Macaca fascicularis: one gene and its partners. The protein of the gene in region 1 purifies or fractionates together with the protein of each later gene. This does not show direct contact. Links are inferred from orthologs where the notes say so. Each region holds a gene or a part of one and is shown in the gene's direction. Other genes may lie near its edges. The genes, in order: FXR1, ORC2, TDRD3, CEP63 and G3BP1.

Region 1 (3,517 bases):
TTTAATAAATAACTTATTTTAAAGCTGTTAAACATCCCCTTGATCGGGGAGAGTCCATGTCCTCTTTTATATTGTATGCCTATAGCAGCATGTTCGGCACACTCTAGGCCGTTCAATAAATGTTGAACTGAAACAGCAAATGATCTCATCAATTCTGTTGACTAGGAACACAATGCTCTTTACCATCTACTTCCCTAAGGTCACAGTTTTGGTAAGGAGCACAGCTCTAGCTCTAGGCTTTAGGAAGACAAAAAGTTATATATAAGAAGACTTACTCATTTTTGTTTTGATTGTAGGAAGTAGAACAGCTAAGAATGGAACGCCTACAGATTGATGAACAGCTACGACAGATTGGTATGGGTTTCAGACCTTCTTCCACCAGAGGGCCTGAAAAAGAGAAAGGATATGCCACTGATGAAAGTACCGTCTCTTCTGTACAAGGTTCTAGGTCTTATAGTGGAAGAGGCAGAGGTCGTCGGGGCCCTAATTACACCTCCGGTTATGGTAAAAAAACTTTTTTTTTTTTTGTAGTAGTAATAATAGTAGTTTAGGTGCTCTAACACATTTTCTTATAATTAGTTCATTATCTTGGCTTTGAGGGTAGAAGGTAGTTTTGAAGGTTTGGTACATGTCTTAATAGTAGTGATGGTATACGTTACAATGACAGTAAAATATATAAAATTTCCAAGCAGTTATGTAACGAAGCAAAGCATGTTTTTAAGTTGGTAGTTCATTGTCATGTTCATTATATTTACAAATAATACATACGTAACTTGTTTTTCAAATACTTTGCTAGTACAGTTTTATACATTTCCCAGTAAATACCTAGTAATGGTGGTGATACTTTTAGGAATCATCTTTTGTCTACCCTCTTCAAGTAAAAAATGAAAAGTATGCGAATCACTGCCAAGATTGCATATAGCAAGTCTTTACTAGCTTTTAAAAAATATTTTATTTACTCATTTGGCATATTTGAATATATTAACATCTCACATCTGGAATTACTTTGTTTAACAACATTTCACTAAAATGAAGGCTCTGAAAGCCAGAATCTAATTTAACACTTCATAAATGAACATTTTCTAAAATATATTTCACTGTGAGGATTGGGTATAACCCAGGTAGGAAGGGGACAGTGGAGTGATGATAGTCAACAATTCTCTAATCCTAAATTCTCCCTTATTCTTCTTCAGCTTTGGAGTTGTTCCATTTTTCTACATTTGGACTTGGATCTTAGCAGTGACCTGATTTGTTTTTTTCCTTCGCCCATTTTCTTTCTCTTTTCCTGTTCTTTTCTTCACTCCTATACTTACTCTCTTTTGAGGAAATACAAAACATTTTCCAAAATGTAAGGCATTTAAGGAATATAGAAATAAATGCAAATTTCCTGCTTAATTGAAGGATCATGTAATGCTGACAAAGTTATATTAAACCTGAACTATCTTCAATTTGTTGTAGAGTTGTAAGTTTGTGTCCCTTCCCTTTAATATCATATCTTTATGTTCTCATTTTTACATATATATTTTTATTTAATGCAGTATTGAAACCTAAATAGCAAAATTCTAATAAAGAAGTATTCAGCATATAAATGGATGAAAATTGCAAACTGTTATTATATTTCTGAAAATGTTTAATGCAAAAGACAGTTAACCAGTAATCACATAGAAATTAAATATATTCTCATTGATTTTTGAACCATACATTATTAGCATAGATAATCAGACTTATTGGATGAAGAGTATGATGAATTCATTGAATAATTTTATTAGCTTTTGTGGGAAGTCTGCTTATTGAGAGCTTACTCTGGCAAAATGCTTTTGTTGAGAGTAGATAATTTATGTGAGAGGTAGAGAAACATCATCTGGATTCAAGAAAGCTGTGCAAATTGTTCAGTAGATGGCACTCTTAGCTCTGAATCTTAGCGGAATTAATAACATTTTATTTCTTGAAATAGTTACCAAATCTGAGTGGGCTTGGAAAAGCACGAAAAACCATTTGAATTTGGTTGTAGATGTTCATGTATACTTTATATGAGCGGGACTTTTAGTTGATTTTATATATATATATATATATATATATATATATATATATATATAAAGTATGAGTTTTATCAGTTTAATAGGAACTATAAGAAACATTTCCCAGTGTAACATCTCCGAAGTTGGTATGTGCGTTAAATTGGACATCTTACAACTTTAACAACATTTTCTTTTTTAATGACACATAAAATAATATCTTAAAATTGATGGCCTCTTGGAGTTGATAAAACGTGATTAGTTTTAGCTATTAAGCTTAGCACAACCATTGAAAATGATATAAACCATCTTCATAAGGTGATTTTAGAAGTTTGAGGGGGAAAATATGATTTTAAAATTGGTTAAAAACACAATGTCATTATGTTTCGTTACTTTTTTTTTTTTTTTTTTTGAGACAGAGTTTCACTCTTGTTGCCCAGGCTGGAGTGCAGTGGTGCGATCTCGTCTCACCGCGACCTCTGCCTCCTGGGTTCAAGTGATTCTCCTGCTTCAGTCTCCTGAGTAGCTGGGATTACAGGCATGCACCACCATGCCCGGCTAATTTTGTATTTTTAGTAGAGACAGGGTTTCTCCATGTTGGTCAGGCTGGTCTCAATCTCCCGACCTCAGGTGATCCGCCCACCGTGCCTCCCAAAGTGCTGGGATTACAGGCGTGAGCCACCATGCCTAGCCTGGTGTCGTTACTTTTAAAGCTTGTTTAAAAAGACTTTGAATCCCCAACTTGTATTTTACAAAATTAAGGGGTTGGAATAAATGGTTTCCCTGATTATTCATTAGAGTATTTGTTTTCAATTGCAGTAATAAATTATCACAAACTTAGAGGCTTGAACCACAGAAAGTTACTGCCTTATAGTTCTGTTGGTCAGAAGGCTGACATGGGTCTTACTGGGCTAAAATCTTGTCAGCTGGGCTACGTTTCTTTCTGGAAGGTCTGGTGGGATTCCCCTTTGGGTAGTTGAGAAAGTTTCTCTACTTTTAAAGACCCGGTGAGATTAGTTTGGACCCACCTGGATTATCCAGGATAGTCTCTCTATCTCAGCGTCCTTAGCCTTAGTCACATGTGCAGGGTCCTTTTTGCTATCACAGAAACATTTCATATGGGTTATTAAGAATTATTTAATATGAATAATGTTGAGCACTAGCCAATTCATTAAAATTTTGGGGGTTATGGCCTCAATATCTGTTTTACCTACTGAAATCTATGATTTAGACATTCCCTCTAAGTATCTTGAATACTATATGTAGGTTAAATTTAAGGAAGACTTTACTTGCTGTGACACGGGGTTAGATAAATACTAGTCTGGATTTCAAAGGATACTTCAATAGGAACTTTTGAGAGAGTCTTCAAAATGAAGTATTCTTTATTTGCCCTGAATTTTGGCAATGGTTTCAGATAGGGTATATGTGTGTAAATAAATTCAGAAGTTCTTAAACGTTCTGAAAGGTTTTTTTTTTTTCACTATTCAAGGAGAGATAAATTG
Region 2 (3,517 bases), on another chromosome or scaffold:
TTCACGTTGTCATCAATGGCTTCTTTCCCGGAATCAGTGTGAAATCAGTAAGTTTCAAAATGTTAAAGGGAAAAACATTATATCCTCTGCCAATTCATGCCTCCACATAAATGAGGATGGAGTATTAAAGAATTTTTGTTTTAGTCTTCACGGTAGTAGGATTGTATAGTGCTTAATACCATGTGTTTGGACTCAGAAGAATCTAGCTTTGAAACCATCTTTGAATGTCCTACGTTGTAACTGACATGTATTAAAACTTAGGAAAATATGTTAGTTTTGTTTACTACACTGAGTATCAGTGGTACTTCTAAAGAAGGGAATTATGGGGTCTTCAGTTTTGTTATAAACTATGAAAATGCTTTATTAGGCAAAAACTCGGGGCCGGGCGCGGTGGCTCAAGCCTGTAATCCCAGCACTTTGGGAGGCCGAGACGGGCGGATCACGAGGTCAGGAGATCAAGACCATCCTGGCTAACACGGTGAAACCCCATCTCTACTAAAAAATACAAAAAAAAAAAACTAGCCGGGCGAGGTGGCGGGCGCCTGTAGTCCCAGCTACTCGGGAGGCTGAGGCAGGAGAATGGCGTAAACCCGGGAGGCGGAGCTTGCAGTGAGCTGAGATCCGGCCACTGCACTCCAGCCTGGGCGACAGAGCCAGACTCCCTCTCAAAAAAAAAAAAAAAAAAAAAAAACAAACTACATGCTGTGAAAATGCTTTAAAATGCAACAGGATGTGAAGACTATAGTTTTACAATACATTTATCATAGATCATTTTTATTTCAAATGCTCAATCTCTCTTCCTCATTTGAACATGAAATCTTTTGGGTGCTGGATATTGAGTCATGTAGTATTCCTTTTTAAAAGTGTCTATAGTGTTTGTGTCCTGTTTCCTTTGATAGAACTGTAGTTTTCTAATGTTTCTCATGTTCTTGGGAGCTTTTTCATTTGTTTTTGCTGCCCTCTTATATTACCTATTACGTTGATATCTTTGCTATTCTTTTCTATTTTCTTTTAGCCACAACTTAGGCAAAAAACAATGAATTAGATATAATTCATCGAGTACCAGTAGAATTTTTAAAAGTGATTTTTTAAAACTTTTGGGAAATCCAAATTCATTATTAATTTATAAAAAAAGGTTTGATTTTCTAGTTGTATATGACAATAAATTGTAATTAATGTGGCACCTCTTGCACATTCATGATATAGGTCCTGAATTCTATAACAGAAGAAGTCCTCGATCATATGGGTACTTTCCGCAGTATACTGGATCAGCTAGACTGGATAGTAAAGAGATTTAAAGAAGGTAACATGAAGTAGATGCTCTGTAGTTTTAGGGTAAAGTTAAGCATATACTTCTACTTATTCATGTATTTATATACATACAGTACAGTTATACATACATATTATATGTATTATATACATACATATACATACAGTATTATTATTATTTTTTATATATATATTTTTTGAGACAGTCTCTCTGTTGCCCAGGCTGGAGTGTAGTGGCACCATCATGGCCCACTGCAGCCTTGACCTTCTGGGCTCAAGCAGTTCTCCCACCTCAGTCTCCCAGGTAGCTGAGATCACAGGCGTGTGCCACTGTGCCCAGCTAATTTTGTATTATTTGTGGAGATGAGGTCTCGCTATGTTGCCCAGGATAGTCTGGAACTTCTGGGCTCAAGCAGTCCTCCTGCCTTGGCCTCCCAAAGGGCTGAGATTATAGGTGTGAGCCACCACACCTGGCCCAAAAAGATTATTTTAATAATGGCACTTATCTTGGTGCTCTAAAATAATTTGACCTTTTTCTATGAACCTTTTCTGTGAACTTAACAGGGAAGAAAAATGTTAGTCCCACTTTCTTAAGTTTGTATATCCAAAAGCCTCTTTCTGTTTATAAAACACTCCAGAAGTGCAGTGGCGCAATTTTGGCTCACTGCAACCTCTGCCTCCCGGGTTTAAGCAATTCTCCTGCCTCAGCCTCCCAAGTAGCTGGGATTACAGGCATGCACCACCAAGCCCAGCTAATTTATTTCAGAATAATTTTCAGGTTTTGTTTTGCTTGTGTAAAGTGCCTCCACTTGAGCGTTACATCTTTGTCTGATATTTTTATATTGTTTAATGTTTTTATAAAACATTATTTCTTGGCTGGACACAGTGGCTGACGCCTGTAATCCCAGCACTTTGGGAGGTCAAGCTGGGTGGGTCACCTGAGGTCAGGAGTTCGAGACCAGCCTGGCCAATATGGTGAAACCCCGTCTCTACAAAAATACAAAAAAAATTAGCCAGGCATGGTAGCACGTGCCTGTAGTCCCAGCTACTTGGGAGGCTGAGGCAGGAGAAGTGCTTGAGCCTGGGAGGCAGAGGTTGCAGTGAGCCAAGATCATACCACTGCACTCCAGCCTGGGCAATAGAGTGAGACTCTATCTAAAAATAAATAAATAAATAAAACATTATTTCTTTATTCTGTGTATATATCATTACATTGGGATAATTTTATATACTAAGATCTCTGATTCTTTTGGTGTGAATGTTTTGGTTATGTGAGTATGTCAGAAAATTGGAAATAGCATTATATAGTCTCTGATAGTTAATTGCCATTTAATAATGACTAAATTAAGAGAAGTACATGAGAATGCCTAACTGCTTTGATGGATAATTTTATTGATAATGTCAATAATCCTAGCTCTGTTTCCATAGTACTTTTATCTTGTCAATATTCTGGCATGTTCTTTAGTTTTGTCTTCATTTTGTTTCCAACCTGAAAAGCTTTCTGTCCCAAATTTCCTTTCACACTTCTACACCCATTTTACCTACAGTTCTTTATAGAAATGGACAGTATACTTTTTTGTTTTTGGTTTTTTTTTAACACAGTCTTTCTCTCTCACCTGGGCTGGGATCCAGTGGCACAAACACATTTCACTACATCCTAAACCTCCTGGGCCCAAGTGATCCTCCCAACTCAGCCTCCCCATTAGCTGGGACTACAGGCACACACCATCTGCCTGGCTATTGTTAAAATTTTTTGTAGAGATGGAGTCTCACTGTGTTGCCCAGGCTGGTCTCAAACTCCTAGGCCTCAAGGGATCCGCCTGTCTGGGCCTTCCAAAGTGCTGGGATTAACAGACATGAGCCCAGCCAGACAATATACATTTTTATACCAACTGTACACATTTGAAAACAGGTAGAGTTGATTCTCATTATTCACAAATTCTATAATAACAAATTTTCCTGCTTGCTAACATTTATTATAATCCCAAAATCAATACTCTTGGCACTTTTGCAAAGTGAAACATGCACAGAGTGGCAAAAAGTTTGCATTGCCCAATGTACACATTCTAAGCAGAGGTCAAACAAGGCAATGCTTTGCCGTCTTGTTTCAACTCTCATACTATAAACAAGCATCCTTTTCGCAGTCCGTTCAGTGCTATGTTTTTCACATTTTTCTGCTTTTGTGTCGGTGATTTGGCTGTTTAAAATGGCCCCCAAGCATAGTGTTAGAATGCTATCTAGTGTTCCC
Region 3 (3,517 bases), on another chromosome or scaffold:
AGAAGGAATATATTTCTTGTCAAAAAAGTTCAGAAAAGTCACTAAGCAAACTGATGACTGTAACCTTCATCAAGTAACAGTAGTGATCCTTGGGGAGGAGGCACAATCTGACTTTCAGTTACCTAATTACAGGATTCAAAATGTCCAGTTCCCAACAAAAAATTACAAAGCCTACAAAGAAGCTGGAAAGTTTAGCCCATTCACAAGAAAAAGAGAAATCCATAGAAACCGTGCCTCAAATAGCTCATGCATTGGACTTAACTAGACAAAGACTTTAAATGAACTGTCTTATATATGCTCAAAGGTCTGAGAGAAATCATTGACAAAGAACTAAAGAAATCAGGAAAACAATGTATGAACTTATTAACTATTAGATATATAAAGTTATGTTTTTCTCAGCTGGGGTTAGCTCAAGAAATTTCTTTGTAGGATATGTTTATACTCCTTAAGTGGTTCTTGAATTCTATTCAGGTCTAGATTTTTAAAAGAGATTTGGATTCTGGCATTTGTAAAGTAGACTTTCCTGTTGGAGTATAGCTGTCAAAGGCATCATAGATAGTATTGCTAATGAATATAGAATACTCAAGTAATAGTTAAAAAAAAAAAAGCTACTGGGGGGTATCATTTTGTTAGCTTCAATACTTTACATTTTTGGAGAGGTGCTGTATGAATTACATTTCTCTTCTAGTATGGAGAAGTGTCAAAAAATTTCCATTTTTTACCATGGAAAAGTTTCATTAGGTAGTTTTCTCCTCACTGTCTATATTATTTTCAAAGGCCATACTCTAACACACCATAAAATTTCTTTTTTGTGCTTTTGCAGTGTTACTTGTGAGGTCAGAGAATACTCAAGGCACAACCCCACATATCATACAGATTCTTCCTTGCCTCTTGTAAAAAATCAGCAAGAGACTGTTGTATTAGAATGACATTTTTACATAAGTATGAGATGTAATTTTTAGTTAAGACTGCAAATAGTTAAAAGTTTATGCATTGCCTTATGTGTGGGCTACCAACCAGCTTTTCTCTTTATTCCTTCCAGGTTGATGAGAAAGCTCTGAAGCACATAACAGAAATGGGCTTCAGTAAGGAAGCATCCAGGCAAGCTCTTATGGATAATGGCAACAACTTAGAAGCAGCATTGAACGTGCTTCTTACAAGCAATAAACAGAAACCTGTTATGGGTCCTCCTCTGAGAGGTATAATTTATTAAACAGTGTGCCAGATAGTATTGTTTGCTTTTTAGATGAATATTTGTTATTGACAGAGGCTGTTAGCTGTGAGGGCTGTAATTTTATTTAACGTTATGGTAAGTGGAAGGAACACCAGTTTGGGAACCACAGAGACATTTGTAGTCCCAGTCTCGTTGTCTTCATCTTTGTACAAAATGGGTCTAACAACAACAACAAAACAAAAACAAAGCGGGTCTAACAATGACTTATTTAACAAGGTTGTTATGAATAACAGAGAAAATATGTGACTGGTTCTATTATTTCTAGAACTCTGCCACCTGAGTAAATGACTAAGCTTTTAAAAATTAACAAAAATATTACATTTACTTGGTGATATTATTATTATTATTATTTTTTAGATGGAGTCTCACTCTGTCACCTAGGCTGGAGTGTAGTGGCGCGATCTTGGCTCACTGCAAGCTCTACCTCCTGGGTTCATGCCATTCTCCTGCCTCAGCCTCCCGAGTAGCTGGGACTACAGGCGCCTGCCACCACACCTGGCTAATTTTTTTGTATTTTTAGTAGAGATGGGGTTTCACCATGTTCGCCAGGATGGTCTCCATCTCCTGACCTCGTGATCGGCCCATCTCAGCCTCCCAAAGTGCTGGGATTACAGGCGTGAGCCACCGCGCCCGGCCTTGGTATTATTCTTTAATCATTGCATGGTCAAGTTTATTATGTGGTTTTTCAAGTCCCAGTCCTATATTATTTTTAAAATGTCTGTGGTTGAAGAATAAATTATAATTTTTACTTAGAAGATAGTTTATATAAACAAATTCAGACTTCTGAATAGATGATTTATTTAGAGGATTAAATGTGCTACTTAATATAATTACTTAAAAAACTTTAAAAAATTACTGAAAAGATGTAGACTATACAAAAAATATGGAAAGAAATTAAAATCCCTATTTAAAATTTTTGGTTATATGTTAGTATATATTCTTTTTGTTTTTGCATATATAGTACATATTTCTTGCTTTTACATCTAAAGGTAGAGGAAAAGGCAGGGGACGAATAAGATCTGAAGATGAAGAGGACCTGGGAAATGCAAGGCCATCAGCACCAAGCACATTATTTGATTTCTTGGAATCTAAAATGGGAACTTTGAATGTGGAAGGTAGGCTAATTTAAAGTCGATTCTTTTTCTTTTTTTCTTTCTGTGTGTGTGTGTGTGTGGTTTTTTTTTTTTTTTTTTTAGTGTATTCTTTATAAGAGACCAAACTTTATTTGGAACTGTATAATAAAGCAACTATAATATGAACATATATCCTGATTGTTTATTTATAAATTTACTTAATTACAAATTCCTGCTTGACAAAAGCACAGAAGAAAATGTTATATTCTGAAAACATAATGGCAGCTTATTTTGCCCCCTAACTGGGATTAGTAATCTCACCAAACTATTTTTCCCTAATTTGCTCATATCTAGATGACAGATATAACTATGTAAACAGATTGTTGTTTTGGAAAATTTATTATATAATCTTATATAACATTTTGATTGTGAAATTGGTATATCTCTTCTTTCACCCCATATTACATAGTTTGAAAACGTTCACACAGTGAGTGAAAATGCTTTCACAATGTGATTTTTTTTTATATACTTTAGTGATTGACATATTGAAAAGAGAACTAAGTATGGTAATATGCAGCCTTTTTCTAAGCACATAATATATTAAATATTTTCTAAAATGATAAGTTTTCAAAATACGATCCAAAAAGTTAAGGAAATATGCTTTTAAATTCAATTTATCATTCAGATATATTTTGAATCTAGCCAAATAAGCTCATAGATAAAATGCTTTTGTAACAAATGTGAAATGTTCAGATTTCATAAAAATTGAAGTATGTTTGCTAGATTATATAGAAAAGGCAGTGTAGCATTTGAGAAAACAAAGTTTGACGTGGGCAAGATTTGTAAGCATGATGTATTAGTTTTCTGTTGCTGTGTAACAAATTACCACAAAGTTAGTGGCTTAAAACAATGCAACTTTATTACCTTATAGTTTCTTTGTGTCAGGAGTCTAGGCACAGCTTCACTGGGGCCTCTGTTTAAAGTCTCAGATGCTGATGTTAAGATTTTGGTTGGAGTGGTGATCTTATCAGAGACTTGAGGTCCTCTTACAGGCTCACCAGTTCTTGCAGAATTTCATTTCCTTGTGGATGCAAGACTGAGGTCCTGTTTTTTGCTTGGTGTTGCCTGGAGACTGCTTTGTCTCCTAAAAGCTGCCTTCAGATTGTTGCCACATGGGCCACCCCATAGGCAATTTACATATTGTTTGCTT
Region 4 (4,249 bases), about 55 Mb from region 1:
CCACTTTCCTGCTGCTACTCCTTTGTCCTTGCTGCTGTGTCTCCTGGGATACCCTTTTCACTTTCCTCAGCTGATCCAAACCTGACTTTCCCAGGCCCACATAGGTTTTCCACCTTTTAGTAAGGTTTTCTCAGATCACTCGAGCTTCAGTAGGCCTTCTATCCTTGAACTCTTGCTTCTTGTCCTAACTTAAATCTACTAAACAAGCTTTGTGATCAATTGCTCAGGTATTATTGTCTCCAACTGTTATGTGTACATTTTGTACCCAGGATTCCTTAGTAGATCTTTCTACAATTTGGCCTCAATCTTTTTCACCTGTCCCTTCTCCAAACACCTCAAACCCTGTCACATTTTCCAGCCTTGACAGTTAAAACCCCCCTTTCCACATCACTAATGCCACTCTTCCTTTCAAGATCAACGCAGGCGTCAGCTCTTGGAGGTCAACATCCCATTTCCGGGGTTAGGCGTGAAGGTGCCTTCACTCTTAAGGGGCTGGAAGGATGGAAAGCAACAAGATAATCAACGCCCAAGGCACAGCCACCGTCCCAAGTACTCGTCACACAATACGACAACTGTTTCCTGAACAAACTTTTCTTACACGTGACAGTCCCGATGCCTGCAATGCTGTTTGTTTCTTCCTTTTTATTCCAGCGAACCCATAGTCAGTCTAAAAATCTCAGGTCTCAAGTCGCTTCCTGCAGGAGGCCGCCTCCAAACCTCAGGCTGAGCGCGGTCCCGGTACCCACCGGGGATCTCATAGTTCCCTAAGCACAGAGCATGGCACCAACTAGGTAGCCTGTCAAACAGCCCAGATGTATGTCTTTCCAGACACGCAGTGCCTGCGTTTCCCGGGACAGGGACATGTCTTATCCATTTCTATACATTATAGCTTTGTAAACATGTATCTGTAAGGTCAAAGCGGGAAAAATATTGTTCCTTGCTAGAAATGAGCCTCGCAGGCCACCACACTGTACGAGAGGCCGCCCCTCAGCCGCGGCTTCCGGCCTGACGCAGGATGTACCAAACGTGGAAGCGGAGACGGGGAGGTCTGGGGTGCCAAGCAAGTCCCTTTCCTCCCGACACAGCGTGCAGTAAAGAAAACGGTTATGAGCGTAAAGTGACAGCCTCGGCCGATGGAAATAGGGGGAAGTCCGACACTGAGCCACGAACGCATTCCCGCGCCTCCAAAACCTAGGCCGGGGGCGCTGCAAACCCTTACCGTTACGCGGCCCAGCGCGGCAGACGCTTCCTCCTGCCTCGCACCGCATCACGCGTCTGCACGCTCTTTCTCGGATTCCCGGATGTGGGTGAGTCCATTTGCTCGCGTGCAGGGGAAGTCTGGAGCAGACATTGATTCAATTATTAAAAGTGTGGGGGCAGTGGGCGGAACGAACGCTCCGACTGCTGAGGCTGGACGTAAGCTTAGTGGTGGCGCGCGTGCGCAGTGCACGGCCGAGGTAACGGCGGGAAGGCTGAGGGATGCGCTTGCTGCAGCCGTGTAACCGCCCGTGCGCAAGACGGAAGCGCAAGGGGCGAGCGCGTCCTGGTCCGGAGGCGGCCCAGGCTGCCTTGGTGACTCTGGCTTCGCGGCCTCATGGCTTGCGGCCGGTTCGCGCAACAGTCTGCGAACCACCAGGCGCCTCCCCGCCGGCTCGCGTCCGCCCCGGAGCCCCGTCCCTCGGCCTGGCCCGCTATGCCCTGCACACCGGCGTAGTCCGGCATGGCGCAGCCCGGCGCGCGGTTCGGCCCCGCCAGGTGGTCACAGCGTTTCCTCGGAGGCCGGGTGGCTGGGGGCGCTTCGGAGAGTAGCCAGGTGGGCGGGCGAGCTGCGCCCAGTACTCACCTTTCCCGGCGGACCCACCTTTCTTTTCAGCGGAGGTACCCCTGTGCGGCCTCCCGGCCAGGGCTGCTGTTTAGCTAGCGCTGTTAGGACTACTTCATTCACGGCACAAGGGGACCCGCTCATTTAGGGTGGCATGTTAAGGTTGGCAGCTTTTAAAATAGTGAGTTGGTGTAAACGGTTATGTTTAGTACAGCAGGTACGGAATTATGGCAGAAATCGTGGACTGAAATTGGAGAACCCTGAACTAACTGCTCCATGCACACAGATCAGGGATAGAAAGAAACAAGGACGGTTTCTTAGGAACACTTTAATCATGGAGATACTTGAAGACAGTACATTTAGGCTTATAATGTGGTTTTTTTTATGTCGTATACGACATCAGGAGAGTAAAGATGTGTATGATGTCAGAGACTAGTCATCTTGTATAGTTTAAGCACCGTACACTAATATGCACAAAGTAGTTTTCCCTGAGCTTTATGTCCGGTTAAACTTATTAAAAGAATTTATTCTTTTATAAAGCAGTATTGTAGGGTAGATGCTCTGTATTTATACAGTTCCTCACGTGCTTGCGTTTATTTTTTAGGTAAGAGAAAATCAAGGATCGTTGATTAGATTTCTGTTAGCTGTAGCTTAATAGTAAAACAAAGTATATATATTTTCTTATTTGGAATGCAGTACTATTTTTAGATTAATTTTTGAGATTGCCTTTTGACTGTGGCATGATCAGTGATCAGGGTAGTAAAAAAGGCTCTGAAACTAAAATGGGGTAGAGATTTATAAACAGGCACACTGCCTTTTAAAATGTATGTAGATGCAACTCTAAAAGTTGTTTGTAAAAATTGTATATGTTGATTGTACTGATGCCATTTTCTCTCTTTAAAAGGTGGAATGCCTTTGCTTAGTCCTTTCTGTTCTAATTTACGTTGTGCTGGCAGATGGTGACAGCATCAGTAGTCCACTCTGTCATTGCTTCCTGCTTTCAAAAAATGTCAACTTGATTTGGAATTCAGCTAAAGCCAACATTGACACAAGGTTTCAGGAACTGAATTTCCGATCTTTATGTTATTTTAGTCCCCTGCCCGCCCCCGTCAGGAGCTAGGTCTTTCAGTTTTGCAAAGCCACACTACTGTCATTACACATACACAAATTAATGAAAATTCTCTAATGTCAATGTCCAGTCAGATTACGATTTCTTCAACTCTCTCTTAAATGTCTTTTTTGCAGTTAGCTTGTTTGAACCAAAATCCCACAGGGATCTGCCTGTTGTGTTTGGGTGATGCATATTTGACATCTTTTAATCTATAGCAGTTCCCTCATAGCTATAGCTATGGGATTAGCCCCTATTTTTCCTTACAGTTCTAAATTTAGCAGATTACATTGCACAGTATCCTTTAACAGGTATCTCTGTTGCCTTTATGGCTTCTAAACCAGGGGCCCCCAAACCCGGGGCTGCAGAGCACTACCAGTCCGTGGCCTGTTAGGAACCAGGTTACAGAGCAGGAGGTGAGTGACAGGCGAGTGAGCATTACCTACCAACTGAGCTCTGCCTCCTGTCAGATCAGCTGTGGGGTTAGATTCTCCTAGGAGCATGAACCCTAATGTGAACTGCGCATGCAAGGGATCTAGGTTGCATGCTTATGAGAATCTGACTAATGACTCATGATCTGAGGTGGAACAGTTTCATCATGAAACCATGCCCCTAACCCTTGCCATGTGTATTATTCATATTACTGAAGAAGTGGTTGGCCGGGTGCGGTGGCTCACGCCTGTAATCCCAGCACTTTGGGAGGCTGACGTGGGCGGATCACGAGGTCAGGAGTTCGAGACCAGTCTGGCCAACATAGTGAAACACCGTCTCTACTAAAAATGCAAAAAAGTTAGCCGGGTGTGGTGGTGTGCGCCTGTAATTCCAGCTACTCGGGAGGCTGAGGCAGGAGAATCACGTGAATCCGGGAGGCGAAGGTTGCAGTGAGCTGAGATCACACCGTTGCTCTCCAGACCAGGCTACAGTGTGAGACTGGATCTCAAAAAAAAGAAAATAAATAAACAAATAAAAAGTGGTTTGGCCATTCCTCCCCCAAAACATTTCATATGAATGTTAACAAAAAGATATTTACAAAATTTTTTATTTCCACCCTGTCCGTGTTGAAAAATTTTCTTCCGTGAAACAGGTCCCTGGTGCCAAAAAGGCTGGGGACCACTGCTCTAAACCAGTAGTTAGATGTAGAATTGCACTGTCCAGTATTATAGCCACCAGCCAGCTGTGGGTAATTAAAGTGAAATAAAATTAAAAATTCAGTTCCTAGGCTGGGCGCGGTGGCTCATGCCTGTAATCCCAGCACTTTGGGAAGCCGAGGCGGGCAGATCACGGGGTCAGGAGTTTCGAGACAAGCCTGACCAACATGA
Region 5 (3,517 bases), on another chromosome or scaffold:
TGCAGCCTTGAACTCTTGGGCTCAGACTGTCCTCCCACCTCAGCCTCCTGAGTAGCTGGGACTGAGGTACAATCCACCACACTCAGCTAATTTTTTTTGTAGAGACGGTTTTACCATTTTGCCCAAGCTGATCTCGAACTCCTGGACTCAAGCAATTCGCTTGCTTCAGCCTTCCAAAATCCTGGGATTACAGGTGTGAACCACCACCCTTGGGTTTTTTGTTAAGGGTTTAAAATTTCCAGAACATTTTTTCTCATTTCCTCCTGATCATTACAAAAATCTTTAGTGAAGGGTAAGGCATTGTAAGAGAGTTAACTTCATTTTGCAGATACACTCAGAGTGTTTAAAAATTTGCTAGTACATATGCACATGACTGTTAAGTGGTAGAACAAGTCTCTAAGCAGTTTTTACCCTTCCTTCCTTTTCTTTTTTCTTTTTTCTTTTTTTTTTGAGACAGTCTTACTCTGTTGCCCAGGCTGAAGTGCAATGGTGCGATCATAGCTTGACCTCCTGGGCTCAAGTGATCCTCTTGCCTCAGTTTCCTACATAGCTAGGACTACAGGCATGCACTACCATGCCCAGCTAAGTTTGTGTGTGTGTGTGTGTGTGTGTGTGTGTGTGTGTATATTTTTTTTTTTTTTGGTGGAGTCTTGCTCTGTCACCCAGCCTGGAATGCCATGGTGAGATCTCAGCTCACTGTAGCCTCTGCCTCCCGGGTTCCAGTGATCCTCCTGCCTCAGCCTCCTGAGTAGTTGGGACTACGGGTGCACACTACCACCATGCCTGGCTCTTTTTTTTTTTTTTTTTTTCCCGAGATGGAGTTTCGTTCTTGTTGCCCAGGTTGGAGTGCAATGGCGCTATCTTGGCTCACCGCAACCTGTGTCTCCCATGTTTAAGTGGTACTCCTGCCTTAGCCTCCCGAGTAGCTGGGATTACAGGCATGCGCCACCACGCCTGGCTAATTTTGTATTTTTGGTGGAGACAGGGTTTCCCTATGTTGGTCAGGCTGGTCTCGAACTTCTGACTTCAGGTGATCCGCCCACCTTGGCCTCCCAAAGTGTTGGGATTACAGGCGTGAGCCATTGCGTCCAGCCTTTTTTTGTGTTTTTACATTTGGTTAATTTATTTCAACCCCATAGAATAAAACTGACATAAAACATGACAACAAGAAAGAAGTATAGGCCAGGCATGGTGGCTCATGCCTGTAATCCCAGCACTTTGAGAAGCTGAGGTGTGCTGAGAGGCTGAGGTGGACTGAGAGGCTGAGGTGGGTGGATCACTTGAGGTCAGGAGTTCAAGACCAGCCTGGCCAATATGGCGAAACCCTCTCTCTGTACTAAAAATACAAAAAAAGGCGGAGGTTGCAGTGAGCTGAGACTGCGCCACGGCACTCCAGAATGAGCAACAGCATGAGACTCTGTCTCAAAAAAAAAAAAAAAAAAAAAAAAAAAACGGTGTTTACCTGGAAGATGGAAGACAAATGTCAAATCTTAATAGTGGTTGTCCCTGGGTTAGAGCATTTTGGTGTGTTGCTTTCTTGATGGAATATTGTTTTAATGAAAATGGATCAAAGAAGGACATAGATGGGTGAAAACTATGAGGAATTGACTTTGACATTCTTAATTGCATCAGCAAAAATGATTAAAAAGTGCTTTTAAAACCACTTGCATGAACTAGGTGTTTAAGGGAAACTGCTCACATTTATTCTCAGATACATTAATTAAAGGACACTTGAAGTCTATGGAGAATATAGCTGTTCCAGCCTTACTGCATATTTTCTTCCTGAGTGAAAATAGGAACTTATGTATTGGTGGCCATCTTGACATGCAACTACAAGATCCTTCCCAACAGTATCATCCTACGCCGAAACCTGGAACCAAATCCATTCCCATTCAGCAGATGTTGATCAAGTGGCATGTAGGGGATAGAGAGATGATTGCATACAAAGATGAAAAAGAAAACACATTTCTGCCAGGGCCAGGCGCGGTGACTGACGCCTATAATTCCAGCACTTTGGGAAGCCAAGGCAGGTAGGATTGTTTGAGTTTGTGAGTTCGAGACCAGCCTGGGCAACGTAGTGAGACCTTATTTTTACTTAAATAAAAATAATCAGCCAGGCATGGTGGCATGTGCCTGTAGTTCCAGCTACTTTGGGAAGCTGAGGCTAGAGGATCACTTGGCCGTGGCACATAGAAGCTGCAGTGAGGTATGATCGCATCACTGCAATCCAGCCTGGGTGACAGATTGAGACCCCATCTCCAAAAAAAGAAATTTGCCAGTATCAAACATGAAAAAAAAAAAAAAAAACTTAAGATACTTGAAGATGACAAGTAAATCATCTTCCCATTTTACAGATTTTATGGAAAGAACTCTTCTTATGTCCATGGGGGATTGGATTCAAATGGAAAGCCAGCAGATGCAGTCTACGGACAGAAAGTAAGCATTTCAAGCCTTATTTAGGCTGTTAAGCAGGTAGAAAATAACTCATAAAATTGAAGTGGATCATACTTAATAGGTTTTGGTGATGAGGATCAAATTTCTCAACTTTTTAGTAAAAGTTGATGTGTTTTATTACTATTTGATTAATATATTTGTTGAAATATTTATGTGATGTCAGATTTGTTAATTTTGCATGATACAAAGCTTGTGTGTGTTGGAAGATAATTGGCTTTAGCATGGGGGTCATCTTTGTGTTAATTCAGAACAGTTATTTAAAAAACTCAAGTGTGGTCACTGGGAATAGGGTATACAAAGAAACATCAAAATCCAGTCTGCGTTTCCTATAATTTAAATATGTACATTCTCTTTACCTGTGTTTTGTTGAAAGTTTTTTTTTAGTTGGAGGTTATTTAAATTTTAAGGCATTCACAGTTGATTTTTTTTTTTTTTTTAAGGAAATCCACAGGAAAGTGATGTCACAAAATTTCACCAACTGCCACACCAAGATTCGCCATGTTGATGCTCATGCCACGCTAAATGATGGTGTGGTAGTCCAGGTGATGGGGCTTCTCTCTAACAACAACCAGGCTTTGAGGAGATTCATGCAAACGTTTGTCCTTGCTCCTGAGGTATGTATAGGGATGATTATTTTGTAATGATCGAAACATGGAAAAAAAAAACAATGAACGGTTGTGCATATCTTTAATAACACTTGAAATTTCAGACTTACAGAAAACTTGGAATAATGGTACAATAACTCCTATACACCTTACCTAGAGCAGCTGTCACCACTTGCCCACATGTGTGTAATTCTTTCTCTAAAATACTCCAGTGGGCATTTCCTAAGAATAAAGAATTCTCTTCCATTCTATAGTACAGTTATCAAATTCAGGAAATGTTGATGCAGTATAATTATTCTATAATCCATATTTAAAATTTGGAAATTATCCCAATAATGTCTTAGAGTTATTTTTTTTCCTTGTCCAACATGGAATCTATAATTGCACATTGCATTTAGCTATCATGTCTCTAGTCTTTTCTAATCTGCAGTTGTTCCTTAATCTTTTGGTTTTTTTTT

What was found.
Region 2: the proteins of FXR1 (region 1) and ORC2 purify together in Homo sapiens (affinity purification with mass spectrometry; 4 studies listed by BioGRID and IntAct, with this or other methods). This does not show direct contact. The link is inferred for Macaca fascicularis from reciprocal best matches to the Homo sapiens genes FXR1 and ORC2.
Region 3: the proteins of FXR1 (region 1) and TDRD3 purify together in Homo sapiens (affinity purification with mass spectrometry; 3 studies listed by BioGRID and IntAct, with this or other methods). This does not show direct contact. The link is inferred for Macaca fascicularis from reciprocal best matches to the Homo sapiens genes FXR1 and TDRD3.
Region 4: the proteins of FXR1 (region 1) and CEP63 purify together in Homo sapiens (co-immunoprecipitation; 3 studies listed by BioGRID and IntAct, with this or other methods). This does not show direct contact. The link is inferred for Macaca fascicularis from reciprocal best matches to the Homo sapiens genes FXR1 and CEP63.
Region 5: the proteins of FXR1 (region 1) and G3BP1 purify together in Homo sapiens (affinity purification with mass spectrometry; 3 studies listed by BioGRID and IntAct, with this or other methods). This does not show direct contact. The link is inferred for Macaca fascicularis from reciprocal best matches to the Homo sapiens genes FXR1 and G3BP1.

The regions. Positions count from the first base shown.
Region 1 is NC_088376.1:92,807,768-92,811,284, forward strand, and holds part of FXR1 (RNA-binding protein FXR1), read left to right. Parts: intron 1-275; exon of another isoform or gene 276-296; coding exon 297-504; intron 505-3,517. UniProt on the Homo sapiens protein: mRNA-binding protein that acts as a regulator of mRNAs translation and/or stability, and which is required for various processes, such as neurogenesis, muscle development and spermatogenesis.
Region 2 is NC_088386.1:96,692,904-96,696,420, reverse strand, and holds part of ORC2 (origin recognition complex subunit 2), read left to right. Parts: coding exon 1-47; intron 48-1,206; coding exon 1,207-1,303; intron 1,304-3,517. UniProt on the Homo sapiens protein: Component of the origin recognition complex (ORC) that binds origins of replication. DNA-binding is ATP-dependent. The specific DNA sequences that define origins of replication have not been identified yet.
Region 3 is NC_088391.1:39,937,587-39,941,103, forward strand, and holds part of TDRD3 (tudor domain-containing protein 3), read left to right. Parts: intron 1-1,042; coding exon 1,043-1,199; intron 1,200-2,223; coding exon 2,224-2,349; intron 2,350-3,517. UniProt on the Homo sapiens protein: Scaffolding protein that specifically recognizes and binds dimethylarginine-containing proteins. Plays a role in the regulation of translation of target mRNAs by binding Arg/Gly-rich motifs (GAR) in dimethylarginine-containing proteins.
Region 4 is NC_088376.1:37,393,745-37,397,993, forward strand, and holds the start of CEP63 (centrosomal protein of 63 kDa), read left to right. Parts: upstream 1-1,443; 5' UTR 1,444-1,479; coding exon 1,480-1,755; coding exon of another isoform or gene 1,756-1,813; intron 1,814-1,843; exon of another isoform or gene 1,844-1,950; intron 1,951-4,249. UniProt on the Homo sapiens protein: Required for normal spindle assembly.
Region 5 is NC_088380.1:158,640,876-158,644,392, forward strand, and holds part of G3BP1 (ras GTPase-activating protein-binding protein 1), read left to right. Parts: intron 1-1,711; 5' UTR 1,712-1,740; coding exon 1,741-2,030; intron 2,031-2,354; coding exon 2,355-2,436; intron 2,437-2,894; coding exon 2,895-3,068; intron 3,069-3,517. UniProt on the Homo sapiens protein: Protein involved in various processes, such as stress granule formation and innate immunity. Plays an essential role in stress granule formation.